Linked DNA regions of Neurospora crassa OR74A. The protein of the gene in region 2 interacts with the protein of the main gene of each other region in a biochemical or structural test. Links are inferred from orthologs where the notes say so. Each region holds a gene or a part of one and is shown on either strand. Other genes may lie near its edges.

Region 1 (7,627 bases), on a different chromosome or scaffold from region 2:
TTTCTGCCTGTCCCGCTTCCATTTCTCCAATGTTTCGGGATCGACCTTGGGTGCCTTGTCCTTCTTCTTGTCGAGTTTGCTATCTGTACCACGACGTTCGTCTTCCACCCGACGATGCTTCGAGCTGCGCTCTTCGTAATCATCGGTGTACTTCCGTTTGTGGTCAGGCCTGGGGGTCCCCCGGTCATTCGCGTTGCTGAGAGTCCGATGGTGGTGGTCCCGGTGAGGAATAGACTTTTTAACGCCCAATGGTGCAGGAGACCCGGAGATGGAGCTAGCTTCACCGCGTCGATGGCCGTTGTTCGTGAGAAGCTTCTTGCTCCGATGGTGGTTCTCCACTGCCTTCTTAGCGGCAGCATCATTAGAGTGCTTGGCCAACAGAACAGACAGGAGATACTCGGACCTTCGGACCAAATGAACAGCACCAGGGGATTGAATCCCTACAGCCTCCGTCTTCTTTCGTTCTTCCCGTTTGTCGACACGATGCTCCTCCAGGAAGAACTTGTCGTGCATCTGCAACTCAGGATCGTCCCTGATTTGCGTCCACGCACCAAATCCGTACCTGTCGATTCCAATAAGCAGCATGGCATCCTCGCGTGCACCCCAGTCGCAAGTATATGCGGCAGCCTTGGAAGCTTCGGGAAGCCTGAAACTGAGAATGTCTGCGTGCTCCCGGAGGACGCGACGCAGGAGTTTGAGCTGAGGGGGTCGCTCCACGACAGTCTCTGCGTTGACTTTCCGCACCTCGCCAAAATCGACAAGTACAGCCTTCTTATCCTTCTTCGCCAGTGGCTTGCCAGCCCTGGCTTCTTCTTCGCGAAGTCTCTCGTTGTTCGCATCTACAGCGCGGCGACTGATAACGACAAGGTCCTCGATAATAGACTTCAGAAAGTCCCGATCTCTATCACTAAGGCGGGCATCCTGGACAACCTCTTCTTCGCGGTCGTCCAAGGAACCGTACCTGAAGAAGGCCCTGATAAGGTTTCGGGTTTCTTTCTCATTGAGGGGGCGTTTGGGATCAGAAAGCAATGCACGTTGCTCTTCGAGCTCTTCCTGCTCTTCCCTCTCGCGTTGTCGCTTCTTTGCCAGACGCTCAGCTCGATCGTTCTCTGCGCTCTTTTTGGAGCCTTTCAACGCAGCTTTTCTAGGAGCATTCTCCTCTATCGTTTTTGCCAAGTACTCCTCTTCCTTCTTTCTATTTTCCTCAGCCTTGATGGCAGCAAGCTGCTCGGCTGGAATGATCTGATCCCAGTCAAGGGCGAGATCGTCAACTTTGACATCGGTGACCTGCATCCAGTTATCCCAGTCGATACCACCACTGCTCAGGTTGATCTTGTCATCGACATCAGTTTTGGTAACTTCGGCATTCTCGAGGATAGCATCGATATCGAGCTGCTCCAGCTTCTGCTGGTTGCTAGATTGTTCGAACAGGTTCTGGGAACGCATCTTGAGGATCATCGAGATATCCTCAGCGGTCTTAGCCTCGTCCATCTTGAGGCCGCGCTCCTTGAACTGCTCTTTGAGAGCCTTGCCTTCATCTGTCACACCGGCCTGAATGGTAAGATACTCCAAGAAGAGCTTGTTGCGGGCTCGCTTTACAACTTCCTCTTCAATAGTCTGCTTGGCCACGAGGCGGTAGACATTAACAGGTCTTTTCTGGCCGATACGGTGAGCTCGAGCCATTGCCTGAAGATCGGCCTGGGGATTCCAGTCCGAGTCATAGATGATGACAGTATCAGCCGTCATAAGATTGATTCCAAGGCCACCGGCGCGGGTAGACAAAAGGAAGCAGAAATCATCGCTGCCCTCGGCGTTAAAATGATTGATCGCCATACGTCTTGGGCCGGCAGGAATGGTACCGTCGAGTCGCTGGAATTGATATCCGCGAACACGGAGATAGTCACCCAAAATGTCTAGCATCTTGACCATCTGACTGAAGATCAGAACACGATGTCCGTCCTTCCTAAGTTTTGCCAGCAGCTGATCAAGAAGCATCATCTTGCCGCTACTTGTAATGAGACCCTTGATCTGGTCTTCACGGCGTGTGCTGCCGTTGAGGACACGCTCCTCGGCACCCTGGAACATGTACGGGTGGTTACTGACTTTCTTCAGCTCCATCATGATGTTGAGCAACGATTGCTTGTGGCCGTTGCTCGCGTCGCTGAGGGCAGCATAGTTGCGTGTGAGAATGTTCTTGTAGTAGTCAAGTTGCACGTCAGACAACTCAACTCGGATGATCTTTTCGGTTTTGGGGGGGAGGTCCGACTCGACCGTCTCCTTGGTGCGACGCAAAATGAAAGGAGCGATTGACTGATGCAACTCGCGGAGCTTCTCTTGGGTCCTGATACGCCTAGCCTCATCCTGTTCTTCATCAGTGGGACCTTTGTTATCTGCGGTAGACAACGCTTCAAGCTCCTCATCAATGACGACCTTTCCGGGGTTAAGGAAGTCGAGGAGGGCTGAGAGTTCGGCCAGATTGTTCTGAATGGGTGTGCCGGTAATGAGGACCTTGCAAGGAACGCCGAAGTTGTTGAGCTTGATGTAGAGCTGTGACTCTCGGTTCTTGAGACGGTGGGCCTCGTCAACAGCGAGAACTTGCCATTTGATGTTCTTGAGATGATCCGCATCGGCCAAGATGTAGTCATAGGAAGTGACTAAGACATTGAACTTGGTCTTCTTTGGGTTACCATCCACAAAAAGTTCGTAATCTCGAATGTTGGACCGAGCTGCCTCCGGGCCCAGGTAAACGACGTAATTGAGATCCGGAGCCCAATGATTAAATGTATCGCACCAAGCGGGGATGACGCTAAGAGGAGCGACGACAAGGAACGGTCCTTCCTGGCCGCGTTCATTCCGTAACCAGCTGAGGAACGAGACGCTTTGGACAGTCTTTCCCAGACCCATTTCATCGGCTAAGATGACGTTGTTGCCCCTTACCCAGTTGAGAGCAAGGAAGTTAAGGCCTTTCATTTGGAACTCGCGAAGCTCGCCGCCCTTGATATAGTCAGGCTGCTTCTCCAGTTTGGTCATCCTCGACCGGGTATCGGGGTTAGTTTGCTTGCGGTCAGACTGCCATGACCGGTTGCATCGGTCGAGGAACTGGTTAATCTTGTCCTGAGCAAGTTCGGCCACGAGAGACTCGGCTTCCCAGGTGCACTCGTCGTATTGCAGGCCCTTCCACTTGATGTAATACTCGGTGCCCTCATCACCGTCTCTGACAGCCACAACGCGCTCGACCTTTGTGTAGTCTTCGAGGGCCTCTTGCTCACGTTCTCTATCCAGGTACCACTGCTCTTTCTGCTCCGGACTGATATCGTCGCCACCGAATTGCATCTCCAGTTCGTACTCAACAACCTTCTTGTAATAGTTTTCGAGGCGGCGAAAGCCTCGGAAGCCTGCGACAGTTTCCGTAGTTTCCCAGGTGTTGTGGGGATATGATTGTCCCTGCCACTTGATGAAGTATTCAAAGTCGTGTCGCGTAGAATCCACCGTGACCTCGACACCCTCCTTAGGACGATGACCGAGGATTTTCTCGATGTATGGCGAGTTATCCTCGACATTGGCAGACCAGTAGTTGGGGGTAAGCTCGGAGTCGTCCTCTTCATCTTCTTCGGCGTCACTTTCTTGGTAGGCACCGGCTGAGACCTGGGCGGCCCGACGGCTAGACCATCTCTTTTCGCTAAAAGCCAAGGCAGGGTCCTGTTCTTGTTGCCTGCGGACCTTTCTTTGGAAGCTGCGGGCTTTGGCGCCTCCATATGTGTCCGAGTCGGAATCATCGATTGAGGGTTGGCGAGCAGGAGTGCCACGCTTGGAAGCTGGAAATCACGACAAGTCAGCAGTGAAACAAAATGCCGAGGAGTATGACGGATGAAAACTTACCAGGCAACGAGCGTTCAACCCGACGTCTCTTCGCAGGCTTTCTAGACACCGGTGTGGCATCCGATTCGGATGGTTCATCTTCTTCATCTGAGTCGATCTGTTTACTCAGTTAGGAGAGGCGTAACGACGAGAGCTCATCTTGATCCACTTACGATCTGCGCACGGCGTTGTGTAGGGCGTGACTGTTGTAGGTCGTTAGCATGGTATAACACAACAAGAATGCGGGATATTCGTACACTCCTCCTCAACCCATACAGGGCAGGATTCTCTCTGATGTAATCATCCTCGGTCGCGTGGGCGACTTTGCGCTTCACGACGGTACGGGACGACGAGGCAGACACGACTTCGTTGCTCTGAGCAGACCTGGGGCTATCGGGGGCGTCAAAGTCTCCGTCATCTGACGCGTCGTTATCACTTGCTGAATCGGACGCTTCCTCGAACGTCAACTCGGGTTTTTGTATCGGCGAGACAGCCTCGTCGGCAGGCTGATACGACTGGGCGTCGGCGTCGTCATTTGGGTCGGCCTCGGCGGCATTAACGTCTGAAAGGTCGCTCGTGCTTTCGGTATCGTTGGTAAAGTTGAAGTGGCTGTCATCCGCCGGCGGTGACACATGCCCGAACACCGGACCGGATTCGGGAGATGTCGACATTTTGAGACTTAGACGCGGAGGCTGCCTGCTGTAAGACGACGATGTCAGCCAGCGGTACGCGTCATTTACGAATCACTACTTGGGGCGATGGAAAGAGGCCACTCTTGCGACCCGGAATCATCAGAGAAATCCGGTATCGGGGTAGCGGACGACCCTCAATGATGATTGTCGCATTGGCTCGCGTGTAAGTGATGGAGGCAAGGCTGTGGATGATGAGGCGGACGGCGACGGCGATTGCAGTCGCGTGTGGGCGCCCTGAGGGCACGGGAGAGCAGGCCATGGTCTAGGGCAGCTGTAGAGGCGATATTCATCAAGAATCGACGGTCTGGCGACCTCTACAAGCTGGTAGACGATGGATATCAAGGGCGACGAGGCCCGCTTCGATGGGCGAAATGATGGGGAAAATGCAAGGCGAATACGCAGGGCAGGGCACGCAGTGGGCAGTGGGCAGTGGGCAGTGGGCGGCAGTGGCTGGACTCACAAGTCATGGAAGAATTAAGAGCCTCCAGGCAGCAGACTGCAGAGTGAATCTTCAAGCCCGAGATTCACAATCGCGGTGCCGTGGGAGGAGTGGTGGTGGGGGAAATGGTCAAGGCCGGAGACCCTGGGAGGGGGCTGGCAGTGGTGATGGTGTAGCGGAAAATCGCAGTGATGGACGGAGGAGAAGAATCCATGAAAATGGTGAACCAGAACCAGCAACACCAGTGGGCCACTGCCTGGCTTGTGCTTCAGACGAGGCCCGCTTGCCCTCAACTCAATGCTTGCTCAGTCCCACTTTCTGATTGGTCAGTTTCGTTGGAAGCAACCTCCGAACTCAAGTGTGGGACCGCCACATAAAGGTTCCAGCTCCGTAATTACCGAAACCGAAATGTAACGCGTGTCTTGTGATCTGACCACTTCAATGATGTTCTCTTTCACTGGATGGTAGCGCCAGGAGGAAGCACACTTGCCTAATCCAGTCCGATGGGCGCTGTCACGATCCTTGCCCGTTTTGCTCACAACGCACGAATTTCAGTTGTGTGACGAAGATCTGTAAGATCAATGTTTCTTGTAAGTTTGGGTTTGGAAAGAACGAATAACAGGACACAAACCCAACGCGGCTCGAGCCTGGTCGGATATCATTGCTGGAGCTTGCCAGCTCGTTGGTTGCCCACTCCGATCGTACCCTTCCAGACGGCGTGGGCGGTGTGAGGCAGGCGAGAGCGGGCGATTCCCGATTCAATTGCTTGGAGGTATGTATGGTTATGACCGCTCAGCTATCAGGTTATACAACACTGGAAGAAGTTCAAGGATGGAATGTGGTTGATATAACAACAAATGATTCAGAGAAGTGTTGTTGTCGGTTGATGGCACATCGACTGTGTACCGGTGCGACTTGGGAATCAACAAGGTGGGAAAGATGGAAGATGGACGACAAGCTGAGAATACTCCCGGTACGTGGACGTCGCCCGGTTTTTCTAGGTAGGCATGCTGGCGTCGAAGGGGTTTTCTTTGTCAGCTCCGGTGCAGGTGCCAGCCATGCACTGGTCTCTCCTGGTGCTTCACTTCAACTTGGTACACCGCGAGCACCGGCACCAAGGTGATTTGGATGATTTCCCGCCACTGGAGCTCCGGCTCGAAGAGAACCTACTGCGAGCCGACGCAGGCAAACCCAGGCAGGCAGTCAGGACGACAACATCTTGTAGGTGATTGTGCGGGGCCACCTCTATTTAACCCATTCCACAAACGTAATCCGAGAGCCTCCAAAAGTGTCAAAGAGAAACAGATATACCTAATCAAAGATTTTATCCTCGTCTCATGCCTATCCGACCAAAGAAATACCAGTCCTAAACTCCCTTCAGATTATGAGTATGTCCAAGTGGGTATGGTAGAGGCACCGCTTCCCTGGCGCAGCTGGAGCAGATCCGTCCAGGACGATGGATCCACACGATCCCGTGCTGCTGGGGCCACCAGCCTTCCTTGACTGCCAACATTGACCTCTGTCGGCAACTATCTTCAACGTCTTGATGCCGATGTCATTTCTGCCTCGACAACATGTGGAATAGACTGCTATCAGAGTAGATTGGTTGTGAGTCACTGCCCGGCCGGGGCGCAGGAAACATATGTCGACAGGCAGCCAGAGCTCTGTTCGGAAGTCCGGTTTGATGTCAGTAACCCTGCGCCTCTCTGCATCGTGATCGTTGACGGCATCCGTGATGCTGCGAGTGATTTCCTTAAACGATACGGTTGTGGGAGGAGTCCGAGCGCTTCTAGTTGTCAACCCTAACTAGGTAACTATGCACATCCTCCTACCGAGCGTCATGATCAAGCTTGATGTCGTCGGCCATACAAGTACTCCCCTCCAAACAAACAATACGCTGCCATTGACGCATTATCTTTAGCCGAGGGAGTACTAGATATTAACGCTCACTTGTGAAGGATGGGTCGGATCTGTTCATCCACGGAGGAAACTATCATCACCTGGACAGAGAAAGTGGCAATATCAATGAAACTGTCTAGTCATCATCATCCGCATTATAGTCGTCCATTGGAAGCGATGACCATGTATTCGGGAAAATAGGCGATGTAAGGCTGTGTTCAGCAGATCTCGGATCTGTTTTGGCTGATAATGAGCACAAACTGACTTCAGCAAGACATTAAGTACACGCCCATGATTAACCAACTCTCCACGATGCCACTTGGGTCACTGTAAGAATCTTTGGGCAGAAGTTGTCCTGAAATGAAGGGGAGATCAATGGGAAGCGGAAACAGAACAAAGGACAGAGGAACAATAGTAAAAGTGGAACCCAATGTGGACGACCACTTGCGTGAACATCAGCTAGATACTTGGTGCAACCGCAATGATAGGATAGTAGAAGCTCCTGTCATGTTATGGAATTCTGAGACAGAAATCATGGGGTGGACTGAGAGTTCAGCCCGACTGGGGAGATGGAATTTAGGTACCTACTACTTATATGGAGGGTCGTTACATACCTACAAAAAGTGCACACGGGGCACCTAAGGCAAGCAATGACAGCGAAACAGGAACAGTGGGCTTTCACCTGGCATTAGATACCAAGGTAAAGTTGGTACCTTTAAGAGGTAACCTATCAACCGTG
Region 2 (7,785 bases):
CTGGGCGACCCGTCGTACCTGTCGTGGAATCAGCCTTCGGCCGCTCAGGCTGGATCGACGTGAAACGAGCAACCAGAACTCGAACCAAGTAAGACAAAACACACAAAGAACGAAGATATAATTTAGACCCTAATTACGCCGTGAGATGGATGGATGGCTGGATGGATGTGATGAAACTTCTTACCCTGCGGGATGAGGCTAGGACGGGGGCTGGCTGGCTGGTCGAAACATGAATTGGGATAGAAGAGGCGGAAAGGGTAAGGAGAAGCAGACAACTTGAAGGAGACAGAGAGAGAGAGAGAGAGAGAGAGAGAGGGCGGGATTCCTGATCCAACACGGAACCGCTCTTTGTGAGCTTTGCCTGTTGTTGTTTCCAAAAACTTCGCTGGGTTTTGAAGTTCAGCACGCGCTTACACAAGTCTTTTTGGGATATCAATAACTGAACGGCGTCTTGGGTTTGGTATAGTTTCCGTTTCACTACTTAGTACAGATGCATTTCATGGGATGTAGGTCTCATTATTTACTCACAATTTTTTTAAAAAAGAAAACCACAAGCTCATTTTCATTTCCTGTGACAACTTCAATTAAAGTACGGTATCACTCACCATGCCAGATTGTGTAAAACAAGTAGTTTACTACTACCTACCATGTTCATACAACTACAGTACCAAACAATATATCCCATTTGCACGCCAGACAAATTTGCCCATTGGAAGAGAGAAAAAAAGACCGCGCAAAATCAAATCCACGCCGACATAGGAAAGAGGAAAAAAAGGGAAAGTCTGAAAAAAAGCCAAACTTGTACACAGGCCCGATTTTGAAACCCTTTTCCCAAGATATGCAAACTCACAAGGAAAATAAATGTCAACCGATTAACCTTGTCATATCGCGAGAAGAGCTCAAGCGAACGAAGACCGGGTCTAATCAGTCTACTTTCTCCGCTTCTTGGGTGCCGCACGTTCCTCCTCGTCGTCGAAGCCGCTCTCCCTGTCACGCTTCTTAGCCTTCCTCTCCAGCTCATCCCAATCCTCGCCCTCCTCCTCCTCGCTGTCTTCCGCCTCATCGCTGGCCTCCTCCGAGGCGTTGGAGTCGTATTCGGAATCCTCTTCGCTAGACTCGGAAGCGTCCTCCAATTCGCTCTCGTCAATTTCGAAGGCGCTCTCCTCTTCCTCCTCCTCCACTTCGTCGTCGTCGCTGTCGTTCTGCAGGAAGCCCCAGCCACCATCCAAGAAAAATTGGTGGGTATTGGCAGTGACCGTTTTCATGATGACACCCCAGTTGAGGTTGAGAGGACCCTCTGAGAAGGCAATGTCAGACGAGTCAAGGAACTCCTTGACGTCTTCCAAAGACTCGACAGGAATGGTGTTGATGTGGTATGGTGGCCTCGTGAAGTCCTTGAAGACAAACACCAGATCAAAGTTTTTGAGACCAAACTGAACACGTTCCAGATGTGCGACTTCAATGTCCTCAAGGGTGATAACCATGAATGGAGGTTCGGTGATCTGGATGAGACACTCCGTGGTGGGCTGGATGTACACGTTACTGCGGAACGGTACACCGTTGAAACCAAGGTCGCGGAGTGGCATGTCCACCTCAATGCCTTCGTTGCGGCCCGCCTCGGCAATCTTTTCCGCGAACGACTTGAACAGGCGATCCAGCTCTGCGCGGCGCCGGCGTTCCTCCTGTTCAGCCTCGAACTCATCCTCATCACCATAACGATACTTGCGCTTCCGATTGCCGGTCTCGTCGAACTGGATGTCGGTGGCTTCCCTGTAGAATTGGACATCCTTCGTCTTCTTCTTGTTTCCAATGATAATGGGATCCTTGAGGTGGATGTGGATGATCACAATCAACTCGTGCTGACATGGTTGGAAGAAAAGGTGGCGAACGTTGGAAAAGAGGATATCCACGCGTTGCGTTGTGCTGAGAGGTGACTGGTAGCGAATACCGTTCTGGTGAATTTCCACCTTACCAGGCACACGCTTGCCCTCCATGGCCGGCCGGATGAAGACATTATCCAATACGGCGGGCCGACGGTCTGATAGTTAATTAGTATGTTGCAATACAATTGATCCGGGAAAGCGACTTACTTCTGATTTCAACGAGCTTGTCCTGCTCAACTACGTCCTCCATATCCTTCTTCTCCTGCTCCTTCTTGACAGCGTCTCGTTTGAGGTTCGAGATTTGGTTTGCAATGTCAGCATACCTATCGCCATCGGTTGATTTGAAAGTCAAGCTCCTGACGAAGTGCGCAGATGCATCTTCGAAGGGCTGCTCATCCTTCCGACCCACACCCTGGCCAGGAGATAGGAAGTTGATTCTCAAGAATGACCACTCGCCCTCGTCACTCTTGCTTGCGTTCTTGATGGTGTTGATATGGAAGGGTACCGGCCTGCCCATAACAGGCAGTACTATGGTCGCGTTCTTTTGATCAATAACGATGCCCATATCCTTAACCTTGGGCGGGAATTGATTATCCCGCTTGTAAGATTCGAAGCGCTTGAACTTTTTGATTTCGACGCCATTCTCATCAGCGGTAGATTCGGCGTATTTGGCCAAGCCTTCCTTCTGTTTCTTCTGCGCGAGTTCCTTCTGATGCTCGCGACGTCTCTTGTCCGCGTCCTCATCTACCGTTGTATTACGCTCAGAGCGTAGACGAGTGCTAGTGATGTTCTTGGTTGCAACGGCACCCACCCTAGAGTCCCGCTTCTCCTTTTTCGGTGTGGGCTGTGCTTCTTCCTCATCTTTGAAGAAGAACGAGGTGGCATCAACATCGACAGGCGCCTCGCCAGTAAACACCACCGGCTCGGAGCTAGTGACACGGATCGTATCGGAAAGGATCAAGGAATAGACCTTGCTGTTCTTGTCTTGGGGGTTGGGGTTCTGGATATCACTGAAGCCGGTGGTCACAACCAGTGTCATGCCATCCTTAAGGGTACGGGTGTTCTTGTTGTTGAGAATCAAGGTCGGGTCCTTGTTCTCCAGGCCGATTCCAAAGCCGACGTTCTTAAGAAAGTGCTTCTCAAGATCGGGCTTTTTGGACCGCACAAAGTTGTAGGCCTTGGTGTAAACATCCTTGACAATGGCACCATCCCGGATCTCCTTGAGAATGAGGTTGTGGACAGCAAGTAGGAACTTGTAGTTGCTTTCTTGGGACTTGTTGGGATCGACCATGAAAGTTCTGGCGATTTGGGAGCAATAGGACTTGTATCTGAGACCCATAGCCGCGATGATAATTCCCGGGTGGAGTATATCATTGTCAGAATCAGCCTGCCACTTCAGGTCAAATTTGCCACCACTTTGGACGATCGGTCCCAGAATCCAGTCCAGCTGCTCGGGATCGAGGTCAGCCGGGAGCTTCTGTCGGTTGGGCAGCTCGACGGTCTTCCAAAACTTATCGTCTTCCAGTTTGTTGAAGACCTTATCGGCTAGTGCGCTGTGCTTGATCTTCTTATCTTGGTCGAGGATATTGGACATTTCGTCGAGGAAGTAAGGGGTCAGGAGGGCGACGCAAGCCTTGGACGAGGTCCGCATGGCACGAAGCTCGGTCTCATCCTTGACGGAGAAGGCGCCAGCAGACAGAGCCTGGGCAACGTCAACCTCCTCCACATCCTTGCAGTTATCGGCATAGACCTTCTTCCATTCGTCGATAAAGGGGCCCTTGGAGGTGTCCTTGGTAAGGACGCCAACCTTCTTCTATAACGAGCGAAAATGTGTTAGAACCGCACCGAGATGTTGATGTGCGCCCAGGATGGGATGTAACTTACGCCCGCAGCCTTGATGGCATCCGTAATTTTGATGAAAAGCTTCTCGTTCTCGGCGGCGTCCTTCCCCCGCACGAGGACCTCAACGGGGTATCTGCCGCCCTTCACTTGGTCGAGGTACTTGGCTATTAACGTGTCAGATAGTTTGTCCGCGTTCTTGGGTCGGGAATACCGGGCGAACCTTTCTTTTGGGTGGTGAGAATGTAGATGGTGTCGAGGGTAAACAGCATGAGGGTCGTCGGGAACTCGTAACCTAGCAGCCAGAACTTTACGTAGAGCTATCAGCAGCTGTCATTTGACTGGAATGGCCCGCCAGACGTACAGCCAGCGCACGCCGAGCGGGCTCTCCAGAGGGCAAAACTCACATGGATAGCGTTGTTCTTGTGAAACTCGGGGTTCTCGTCGACCTTGCCCATCAGGATGACGATGGAAGAGACGCCACCGAAGAGAGCGTCTCCGGAGCGCTTGTCGGCCTTCCAGGCATTGTAGAAGTGCGAGACGCGCTCCTGGAAGACCTTGCTGTCGATTTTGATGTCTGCCATGATGAGCGACGGCACAGCGGCGCGCGATTGAAGATGGCAGAAACAATCAAATCAGCAGAGGTTTGGGTTTGGGTGAAGTCGTGCTTTTGGCGAGGGGCTGCTTGCTCTGGTACTGACGGTGGCGGCAGACACCCTTCAAGATGACAGAAACAAGGCTACCACACCTCTCCAGCCGGCACTGCTAGTACTTTACAGTGCTTGCCAGCCGGGATCCGGTTCCAGGCCAAAGACACAAAAATTCCCGTGTCGCGCGTCGCTCACGTCACGGGCCACAGCTCTTGGCGCCCCTGTCCACTGCCTTCGCGTTAGGATGCCTAAGAGGTTCTGTTCTGTGCCTGAGGCAACTATATATGCTGGTTGCCACGGCAATGGTGATATTCCTGAAAGGTCTGTAGTATGGGAATCGTAGAGAAGTATATTGATGAATGATGGAAATAGACGAGCGTAAATGGTGTCGTCGGGACTTCCAACAACTTGCGATTCTGTTAACTTTGTAAGTCGAACTTGTACCTCTTTCTTTAGGTGCCCTGCAGCGAGTGCATGGAGATGAAAGAGGGACAGGCGGGACAGGGCGTGGAATGGAAACAGAGGGACGGGAGGGGTGGAGCTAAGTTTCCAATGCACAGGTACGATTAAACTAAGTCTTGGCAAGCGATGGAAGCTCTGGGGTGCCGAACTTCTTCCATTTAAATACTAGTAGACGTACTAACCAGAACTCACCTTTCTTTACTTCGACGCAAAGAACGTCCTCAGCAGCGATCAACCTAGAGCTGATACCCATGTCAACCTGAATGAATAAATGAACGAGTGATGGCAATCACTGTGCGAAACGACAGCAACACTATCTTCAAGAATAGACTCGACGGGCCCAGACACCGCGTACAAGTGCAAAGAGCAATGTCCAAGATGCCGCTCGGAAAACCTGTGATGTTTCACATCTATACTTGATAGATCGGCATTCTGGAAGATACCGCCATGAGATGGAAAAATTGGCTAACATCTGCCCGACGGGAAACTTTACTGAATGGTGGAAGACGACGAACTGTGCCCATCGAACCAATCACTTGTCCGTGATTTGACGTTCACTGCAAAGCGAGCTGCTGTACTGCAAAAATAAGTAGTTCCCGCTGCCGTCTCGACAACCATTTGGGCATCTTCTGGACCTTGGTTCGGGTAACTTAGACAGCACATCATAAGGTCCAGATCACTAATAGAAGACAAGCTGCCATCAGCACAACTTCCGAGAAGGGCCCTTGAGCTGTATCCTGCCCAGTATGAAGCGAGGACGAGCCTCCCACACCATCTAGTAAGTATCCGCACAATTATCTTGGATTCCTTTATCCGGCTGGTGATTCAGTCCGGTCCTCTTTGGGATCGAAACCGTGAATCCACCGGAGGCCACTCGGGGCCGGCCCATCGGCTGCCGGTACGGCGGCAGTTCCGCACGGACCCGACCGGAGCAGTGCCATTTGGCCCCACTTCCCCGGATTCAGAAGTGAATGACAAATTTCAAAAGTTGAAGTTCGCTTCCTCGGTGTCCAACACCACCACTCTAGGTCGATTTTCAAGATTTGTACATAGAAAGAACAGGGTCATAATAATACGTCAAAATGGTTCGTGAACAGTTTCAATCAGTCCAATCCTTTGTTTCGAGACAGTTGAAGACCTCATCGCGCATACCTACCTACGAACTACAGGCTTCTCCAAACTTGAGGACGGTTGAGACTAACACGGTATTCGTCTTATAGGTTCACGCCGACGCTTCCAACTTTGCTGCCAACGTCACCAAGGAAGAGGCCTACCAGCAGGTTCTTGACCAAGCTGAAGGTCTGTTCTATGAGCAGAGGAACTGGGTAAGATGAGGAACCAAGCCTGCTTGCACCACCACATCAGGAAGGGACAATGTCTAAAAAGGTGACCTGAATGATTGACATTCGTTAGGTTTGGTAAGTCGACGTTGGCTCCCACATGTACCCTACAGCCCCTTCTCGGGATGGTCCGTCCTGAAAACAACAGATGGAACGTACAAGATCCTCATTGTAGTGCTAATGTACTCTTTAAAAAATAGCAATTTGTCCAACTGCGCTGCCCTTCTCTGGCACGCTTTCAAGTCTCTTCCGGCTCCGAGCAACCAGGTCAACTGGGCTGGTAAGTATTTGTTGTGTTCATCTTTGTTCAAGATCCAATCCAGCTTTTTCTTCCTACCTCTGCTTGTTCAACGGTCGTTATCTCTTCTTTCAGTTTTCATTTTACCTTGCTTCGTCGAAAATTCCTGTCCTTTTTGGACAACATCTCCCTCTCCTCACTGCGTCACTACTTTGCCTGTCAAACACACCTATACGTCTCATCTCACTACACTTGACTCTCTCTTTCTCTCTCCCTTCCCCTCTTTTCCTTTAGCCTCTTCCAAATCCAAATTAACCCGCCCACATAATAGGCTTCTACACCCTCAACCACCCCTCCACTACCGAACTCATTCTAGGCCCTTTTCAAGGTAAAGTAGCCTGCCAAACCATCGCCTTCGGCAGGGGCGTATGCGGTGCCGCAGCCGCCACCAAGACCACTCAGCTCGTTCCCGACGTCGACGCCTTTCCCGGCCACATCGCCTGCGACGGCGACAGCAAGAGCGAGATTGTGGTTCCCATTGTGGTGGATGATAGGGTGGTGGCCATCATCGATGTGGACTGTGCGGAGCTGAACGGGTTCGATGAGGTCGATAAGGTGTGGTTGGAGAAGTTGGCGGATTTGGTGGGCAGGAGCTGTGACTGGCCTTGAATTTTTGAAAGCTTGCGCAATGGGGAGTAAGGGAAGATTGGTCCATAGTAGGGGAGGGGTGGAATGAGGGTGAGAAGACTTGTTGGGGTTTAAAGATGTGGAGGATAAATGGGGGCTTTGGGCTGCTGATGAGATACCTAGAGATATGGATGGGAACAGACATCAGTTTTCTTCGTGTTGGTGATTGGTCAGACTACCTATTTCGTCTTCTTTCGCAGACAGCCACCTCTCACACTAGGTCCTCCGGTCTCGTCTTGATCTTATTCACCAGGTGTGACACAGAAAAACAGAGAGTGCGGGAAGAACAGAACAACAACCGAAGAAGAAAAAAAAAACCCACTAAAAGAGTCAACTGTAGCAGGACACTACTTACCATTTTAGTAGGGAGCAAACACGGAAAGTCGTTGGCAGCATACCAGAATCCCGGCTTTGCTCGAAAGATTTTCATGACCTGCAACCGAGTTGAACACGGGGCCTCTTCGTGAACCGGGGTCGGGTACGGCACACTGCAGAGAGACCCTCGCTCAACTAATTAGACCAGTGTTGGACTCGGTGAGTGATATACATGGTCCGGAGGAGATCCTGTCACCTTGGTCTGTACTGGTCGCTTGAGTATCAAGGGCAAGCACGGCGACTGCAGGTGGTTTAGACTTTGTCCAATGGTGTTTGTCCTCCCTTTATCAAAGAAGGTACGGACAGGATGA
Region 3 (7,685 bases), on a different chromosome or scaffold from region 2:
GAGCAGACTTGAGAAGTTCTGTGTTGTGGTTGGTGATGATGACTTTGACCGAGATCTGGAGTCCCGGTGTTGACTTGACTGGAATTCTTCGTCTTCTTCCTTTTTTTTTTTTTTTTTCTTCCGGCTTGTGGGATGCAGCTTGCATCGAGGAGCTTCTGTTGGTGGCATACCTTTGTCGGGGTTCCTCAGAAGTCAAAAGCAACGCTCTTTAATTTGACACATCATGAATGTCGCATCGAGAGGAAACGGGTATAAGGGTCAAGTCTCTCAACGTCCACTTCAAGTAATACTTCTGTATTCTCCAGCCCAGCCATCGTTCATGTCTCCCTCATCCCGTTCCAAGCGTGCACTTTGTCCCTGACGTCCTTTCCCTGCCAGTGTGAGAAACGCCAACAACGTCCCTACCTGATAAACACACTGTGAGCCCTTGAAGTGAAAATCTGGCCCCATCCATCTTGGTGCAGCAGTTCAAATTCTTCGTCCATGTTGTATAGTTGCCATAAATATCATCCGTAACCAAGAAAAAAAGATGTTCCGCCTCTTGACAATTCCCAGTTTCCCAACCCGAATTCCGTAATAACCCGTAAAGAAGGCAAAGACTTCAGTTACCTGTGTATCTCGAAAGGCCGTTGCCGTATCGAGGAAACCAGCAAACATAAAACATCCGTCGCGCTCCGGCTCGCTGTGCTATGCCTACTTCGCTGTGATTTCGGCTTGTTTGCTTGCATACTTTGCATTTCGTATTCCGCTCGCTGTGCAACGGTTCGTTTTTTCCTCCTGTGTAGAGGTGTGTATACGTGTGTGCTCCGGGTTCGCTTCGCTCGTTGGGGCAGAATATCCTTCGTTCGTGAACAAAGATAAAGAAAAAGTCCTAGAAGAATTGGCGTTTAAGGATCGAAGTACATATGTTATGTGTCGGGTACCCACAGATATCTCGAACCAAGAAAGAAATTCCAGCAGATGCAAAATCAAGACCTGACCGGCCACGTAAAGGTAGAGATAGGGTTGATAACCACACCTAATCCACAAATCTCTGCTGCAGAAGAGAATTGCTTTAGAACCCAGAAGGGGAAAAAAAAAAAAGAAAAAAAAATTAAAGAACAAAAAGGGGGATGTGAAACAATAACGCTCCAGGGGAATATCTCTCGTGCGTGCGTGTACAGCACAGAACGCCTAGAAGAATCATACACTACTGCCCTTTACGGGCCTTCTCTTGGGCTCGGGCTTCCCTTGCTGCTCGGACAAGGGGCGCCAGTGTTGATAGGTCGACGCACTTGTTCATGAAGTCGTGCTGTTACAAGAGTTAGCTCGGTGCCCGGCGGAAATATCACCATCTCCTTGAGCCTGGTAGCGTAACGTAGCAGGTGAAGAGCCGCAAACAGAGGGCCATTCAAAATGCAGGGGCGAACCAAGACTTACCCTTAGTAGATCATGAGCGCTGGCCCTCTTCTCCGGGTCCACCTTGAGGGCAAAGTAGAGGAAGTCGCGGAAAACTGGTGAGAGTGACTGCTCATCCTTGATGTGCGGCGTGCCGTTGGTCGCAATGAGCCAAAGCGCTCGAAGAGGCGACTCGGTCAGGTAGGGAGGCTCTCCTTCAATCATCTCGATGGCCATGATGCCCAATGACCAGATATCCACCTTGCGGCCGTACTCTTTACGTGTCACAACCTCGGGCGCCATCCAATAAGGCGTGCCGACCATTGTCGTACGCTTACTTTGAGCTTCGTTGATTGTAGCACAGAATCCAAAATCGGCTATGGTGGAAGAACAAGGGTTAGAATCGGGTCACAGCACCAGATGGGCGTTGGGGGTTGAAGATGGTGGGAAAATGAACAGGAAAATGCTCAAAAAGTTTGAACTTTCGGAGACTGCCCAAAAAGCCCGAAGGGGAAAACTTACTGAGCTTGATATTGCCTTCCATGCTAAGGAGAATGTTGTCTGACTTGATATCTCTGTGTATGACGCCCTTGGAGTGCAGATGTTGAAGGCCTCTGAGGGTTTCTCGGCAAACTGACGCGATCTGCCCTTCAGTCATGATGTTGAACGTGACAACATCCGTCAAGCTACCACCCTCCATGTATTCCATGACTACCCACAATTCCCCAGCACATAGGTAACTGTCAATAAAGTTGACAATATTGGGGTGTGAGCTCTCCTTCATAACCAAAATCTCATTGATGATGAGATCCTTCTTTGGCTGTTGCTCAAGGTTCATCTGCTTGATAGCCACCAGCCTGTTGCTTCCCCTTTCATGGCCAGTATACACACCACCAGAGGCACCCTGACCAATTTTGGTAAACCCACGATAAATCTCTCTCGGATCCCCGTCGGAGCATATCCTCTTTAGGGAAGCCACGACATCAATCGCGTTACTTTGCCGCGGTCTGTGACGGGGTCTCGCGCTAGCTTGGGGAGCCGCCCCCTGAGTCTGTGGCATACGAGGAGCCCCATTGATGTCTGGCTGCCGGGGGTGTTGGTGTTGTGAGGTGGGCGGAGTTGGTTGTTGTCTCTTGCTTGCAGCTCGGCTCAGTTGACCGCTCATTGCTGCCTGGGCTTGGGCCATGGCCTGTTCTTGCTGGTGTTGCAACAATTGCTGCTGATAAGCCGCAGTCTGGTTCGCCGTGGCGATCGGATGCAGTGGGGACGCCTGCACGGGAGAGAACGGGGCAGCGCCGTTTGTCCGGGAATTCGATCTGGACCTGTTCCTGTGCTCCTCCTGGTACATATGCTGGACATTATCCTTGGGAGGGAGGTACGGCATCGGAGCCTCATCACCGGGCGGTGGCATGCCAATTCCTGAATCCTTGGCTGGCAATGAGGCTGGCGGCACCAGCGGTCGTGTGGATATTGCTGGTGGCTTCGGTGCCGGTCTGCTGGGGATCAAGTTGATATCCTTTGCTGGAAGAGGGCCAGGGCCCTTGGGAACCGGCGGCGGCGCACGGGGGTTCTCAAAGCTGCCCTCATGACCAACTTGAGGAAACCTAGGACTAGCGGGTGGACTAATCATTGGCGACATGGGACCATGAGCGTAGCCAACGCCTGTTTGCAGTACGAGCGGAGCGGTGCCGGTCACGGGCGGGCTGCGAAAATCTGTCGCTCGTGCATCGTGGAACTTCTCTAGCTGTTGATCTTCCTGTGGCTTCTCGGTTGTCTCCTTGTAAAATGTGAGGACATCGACCAGTATTTGTGGGTGTTCTCTTCTGTCCTTCTCAGTGATTCCACTCTCGCTTATCAAACGCTGCCACTCTTTTGGCAAACCCTATCAACGTATTAGTCCATCCATAACATTCAGACTAGTTGACATGGCATGGCAACATACCGTGAACTGGCCAGTATTGCTATCATATCCGACGTGTGTGACGTGAACGGGGTTCTCTGGCGCCGAAATCAATGGCTTTTTCGGAGACCCAACTAAGCTGTTCATGAAGCCGGAGAAGCCCGACTTCTTCCTTAGCATACCGGGCACCCTGGACTCTTTACCATCACCGGAGTGTCTCTTGTTACTCGAAGAGCTGCTCTCTGACTTGGACGGCTTTTCGCTTGGCGGAAGTTGTTCAGCCGACGAGAAACTCGCCGAGTGGCGGAATGAAGATGCGCCCATGGTCTTGTTTGATATGGTGGATTTGGGCGACTTTGACGGTTTTGAAGATCTCGCAGCCTTGGAGTCCGTGTTTGAGCGCGATAGAGCAGGCGGGGGAGGAGGAGGAGGAGGAGCGACACGACGAGGAGAAATGTTGTTGGAGTGCGCAATCGTGGTCGTGGACGTGGGCGCGGGCGCGGCTGATAATTTTGTTGCCTCGATTCGACTGAGAATGGCGTTGCCGTCGAATGGAGCGCCAATCAGTTCATCCGTGGATAATTTGTTTTGATCGAAGGATCCAATGCAGGAGTCTAGTGGGTCGTACTGCTTGGATGTGTCCTTGTTCCTGGAGCTAGTAACGGTGGTGCTGGCAACAGCGCTGGGATAAGGCGGCGATTGAGTTTGGGGTTGCGACGATGAGGCCGGCGAGAGGATAAAGCGGTTGGTTGGTATTGTCTGCGTCGGATTGTAAGGGCGATTTGCGGATTGAGAGCGAGTGGTGTGGGAGCGTGGCAGAGAGAGGTCGCTGGCTTTGGTGTGGGCGGGCGCGTTTGAAGGGACGGAGACTGGGACGGATACGGTCCTGGCCAGAGATGGGCTTTGGTTGCAGTTGGGGCCCTGGCGCAGGCTGGAGGCGCTCCGTTTGCTGTCTAGAGATTGGGCGTCAATACGGAGCGATTCGACATTGAAAGAGGAGCTAGTGCGGTGATTTGCGGATGGCGGGCGTTGCTTCTTTGTGAGTCTTTTGCGACTATGCGAAGTGGAGGAGGACGAGGTGGGCGAGAGGAGGGAGAGCTGGCCGTCCATGGTCACTGCGAGAGAAACCCAACCCTAGCGTAGGGAAGGGCACGAGGGCTACGAGATGGGGTAACTAAGAATAAGAAAAGACAAGGAAGATGTTCAACGTACGGTACTGGCGGACGGTTTGGCTGGGGGCCGGGTCAACCAAAAGAAGGCGAGACTTGGGAGAAGAGACGGGAATTGGGGGGGTGGCAGCAGTTATTGAGGCGGGCGGGATAAGTTGGCAGGCCAGAATCACAGACACAGAACGGACAAGAGCAAAAAAGTCGACAATTGAAGGGGGACGGGATCCTGGAAGCTTGATGCCGGTCGAAAATTGCGCTTTGGTTTGTGGTGGGATTGTGTACAAGTTGAAGGTACAAGGTAGGAAAAAAAGACAGACCCCGGACCGCCGGCGATGCTGGGTTTGGCGGGGACTGGGTACGTTGAAGAAGGGGTGATGCTTTCTGTTGTTACTGCTGTGTGGGAACTCGGACTAGGCTGGCGCTTTTCACTTTTCCGCTTGTTTTCTCTAGACTATTTGAATGACGATTTATTTTTGATGGATCTCGAAGCTTTTTAGTATGCTTATCAGAAGGTCAGGGTCCGGCTACCTTTTGAGAGTGGTGAGCAGACGTTAGCTTGTGGACGGCACCCAATTGATGATTGAGCAGGGCAAGGTCGGGCATAGTCCAAGCAGTATGGTGCTGGTGCTACAAGTGCGCAGACTGGAGAGGGATTGGATGACTTGGATAAAGTGGGTGACTGGTTGGGCGGCGCGGGGGATTGCTTGCTTTGGGCAGGGTGTGTCCAATGGTGGTCCAACTTTGTACGAGTCGGTGTCGATGTGTGGCCGTTGACAGTTTGTGGGTTGTCGAATTTTACGAATCTCGTCAAACTCGTTATCGACTTATTGTTGGCCGGGCTCAAATGAGTGAACCCAAGATGGCGGACGGGTGTCGGCTATGCGCGGCGATGCTGCTGCTGCTCCTGCTACTGCTGGGCTGCTACTGCTGGGCTGCTACTGCTGCTGTCGTCTGAAGTTGTCTGGCTGTCGTCCGGTGTTGCTGACGGTCGGACGGCGGGCGGGGCGGGGACACTCGGCCTGCAGATGCCAAATGAGAATTGGAGACAAGGAAGCCCGGACGCAAAGTTCAGGGAAGCATACTATGATTGAGGTTGTGTCGGTCTTAGGTCTACCTATTCCCTTCGAATGCTTCGTGACTGCTGTCGGGCGGCTGTTGCTTGCTGCATCTGCACACTGCACCGCACAACAAGAGGGCAGCACATGCACTTTTCGGCTTCTAGACAGACAGCGGGAGTGTGTCCGGCCTTCTGGGAAGCAACTGAAGTCTACACTACACTACACTACCTACCTCTAGTTCTACATCTCAGTCCCGTCCCCTCTGCCAGACAGGGCAGGTGGGGACGGGTGGGGGACGGGAGAGTGGGACTACCTAGACTGCCTGGTGCAGTGCCATTGCAGTTGAAGAGAGCCACTTTCGACCACTGCTGCCACTGCTACCACTACAACACCACGAAAAGGCGCCTGTGAGAGGCTTCAAGTTCCATCAGTTCACCTGCCCACTTTTTTGTTCAACCGCCGGCGGCAACGGAACGGCGATGGCGGGGACACTCTGCACGGGAGACTGACAGGGACCAGGGCGCCACCACCTCTTCAACCTTTTCCCCTCGTTTCCTCTTGACTTTGGCATCATGTCGTCGAGGTTGCTTCCAACACCCGCTCTGGACCTTGCTTGACGCCGTCAGCTTGATTCGATTCCAATGTAGACGTCAACTCGAGGGCATTCCAGGTTCCGATCCTGATCTGGCCTGGCATCTTGGAGAACGAGTCTGCGTGCAACCTCTGCGGTGTTCTGTGGTCTCTGTTCGACAGTCAGTACAGTACCTCTATCTACATACAACACAGCCGCAATCTCTGCTTGCCCGCGTCAATCACGGCCGGGACAACCCCTCCTCCTGCGCACAGTGAGGTGGGAGGTGCTCATGCTCCTCGCGTGTTCAAGCTCGGCGCGATAGGACCGTGCTATGTATTCGCATAATTGAACTTTTTGAAAACGGGAAACCATTTCGTATCGACACATCGCCATCACGCTCATCAGCCAAGATTTAGCCCCTCGGTACGTATCAGATACGGGGCAGCTTCTCGGCAACCGTGATTAAATGCCCCGGGCTTGTGGGGTAGATATGGCCAAACGGGCGGAGTCGAAACGCCCGTCTTGGTCCTTGGATTTCCGCGTCCCATTCCCTGGCGTTTGGCGTCCACTCGTTTTTCTTGCCTCTGTGGCCCGGCCAGTGCGTCATGTCTGGGACGACTGGGGCGCACCGGCTTGAAGCGATGAGCGTTGTGAAAACCAAAGGCCGGCCGGCCTGTGGGGCCGCAGCAGGCCTTCCGCGCGCGAAATGTTGTCCTTAAGGAGTTGATCAACTTCCTTCGATATCGAGACTCAGCAGTCCTTGGACAAGCGCTCCTGGCCTGGCCCTGTAGTGTCTGCACTCTGCAGTGAGCCTTGTGTTTCGCAAGATTGTGGGACACGGTCTGTGGTATGCGGATGGGTTTGACAGCCCAGCAAACGCCGGCTCCTGCTTCGCCGTATAGCTACGTACAGTTCGTCGTGAATGCCACTCATTTGCTACCGATTGGCCGCCAGATGTGAACGGCAGGCTAGTCACTCACGCTCTCCAGATCCCTATTCCATGTAATTGGGAATAGCGCCAGGTTTCGTGATGCGATCTATCCAGGCTAGTCGTGTGAGAGGTTAAGCCAGCAACTCAAGCAAGACGGTGATGATTTTCTGGTTTGGGCAACCACATTATGAGGCCCCGTGGTCGCCTTCTTGTCAACTTGTTGCGCTCGGACGTTGGACAATGCATGCTGGATCACAAAGCCGCTCTTTGCTAACAGCTTGTCTGCTACTGCTTATGCGTTGAACTACACACCACCTCAGCTTGAGGAGATTGGAATACCGCAAGGTTGACGGCGAATCATGCCTTAAATGGTAGGTATCCGACGAAACTGTTTGAGAGAACGCTGCGGAGGACGGCAATACTACGAGAACTTGATAGAAATGGTTAGCGCCTCGCACTTTGAAAACACCAGAGCCTCCATAACAAGATCGGCTTCGTCTTACGCTTTCTAGCGGGCAAGTTGACCACGCACCCACCACTGCACCCAGCCAGCCATACAGAATTCTTTGATTGCACAACAAACGAACAAAACCTCCACGTACAAGTAAGCCAACATATAAGCACGATCCAAAGCTTGTCTGTGTGTGTCTCCTCGGTGAAACGAGGTTTCTCCTTC

The links.
Region 1: the proteins of NCU01164 (region 2) and crf6-1 form a complex in vitro, tested with the Saccharomyces cerevisiae proteins (2 studies listed by BioGRID). The link is inferred for Neurospora crassa OR74A from reciprocal best matches to the Saccharomyces cerevisiae genes SPT16 and CHD1.
Region 3: of the proteins of NCU01164 (region 2) and stk-4, one has a biochemical effect on the other in vitro, tested with the Saccharomyces cerevisiae proteins (2 studies listed by BioGRID). The link is inferred for Neurospora crassa OR74A from reciprocal best matches to the Saccharomyces cerevisiae genes SPT16 and STE20.

Annotation. Positions count from the first base shown.
Region 1 is NC_026501.1:4,378,962-4,386,588, forward strand, and holds the start of crf6-1 (chromodomain helicase, variant), read right to left. Parts: upstream 5,179-7,627; 5' UTR 5,011-5,178; intron 4,881-5,010; exon of another isoform or gene 4,558-4,880; 5' UTR 4,530-4,557; coding exon 4,116-4,529; intron 4,062-4,115; coding exon 4,032-4,061; intron 3,977-4,031; coding exon 3,880-3,976; intron 3,816-3,879; coding exon 1-3,815. UniProt on the Saccharomyces cerevisiae protein: ATP-dependent chromatin-remodeling factor which functions as substrate recognition component of the transcription regulatory histone acetylation (HAT) complexes SAGA and SLIK. It recognizes H3K4me.
Region 2 is NC_026505.1:3,094,227-3,102,011, reverse strand, and holds NCU01164 (transcription elongation complex subunit), read right to left. Parts: upstream 4,870-7,785; 5' UTR 4,307-4,869; coding exon 4,130-4,306; intron 4,031-4,129; coding exon 3,946-4,030; intron 3,890-3,945; coding exon 3,768-3,889; intron 3,697-3,767; coding exon 2,091-3,696; intron 2,039-2,090; coding exon 930-2,038; 3' UTR 519-929; downstream 1-518. Other genes in the region: NCU01165 (LEM3/CDC50 family protein), read left to right, coding at 1-63; NCU01163 (GAF domain nucleotide-binding protein), read left to right, coding at 5,917-5,919, 6,055-6,159, 6,248-6,252, 6,375-6,454, 6,744-7,081. UniProt on the Saccharomyces cerevisiae protein: Component of the FACT complex, a general chromatin factor that acts to reorganize nucleosomes. The FACT complex is involved in multiple processes that require DNA as a template such as mRNA elongation, DNA replication and DNA repair.
Region 3 is NC_026506.1:2,076,433-2,084,117, forward strand, and holds stk-4 (serine/threonine-protein kinase ste-20, variant 1), read right to left. Parts: upstream 5,179-7,685; 5' UTR 5,155-5,178; intron 5,048-5,154; exon of another isoform or gene 4,971-5,047; 5' UTR 4,388-4,970; coding exon 3,320-4,387; intron 3,260-3,319; coding exon 1,900-3,259; intron 1,755-1,899; coding exon 1,420-1,754; intron 1,292-1,419; coding exon 1,190-1,291; 3' UTR 252-1,189; downstream 1-251. Other genes in the region: NCU03895 (hypothetical protein), read left to right, coding at 5,306-5,392, 5,743-5,782, 6,152-6,423. UniProt on the Saccharomyces cerevisiae protein: MAP4K component of the MAPK pathway required for the mating pheromone response, haploid invasive growth and diploid pseudohyphal development. Links the pheromone response G-protein beta gamma subunits to downstream signaling components.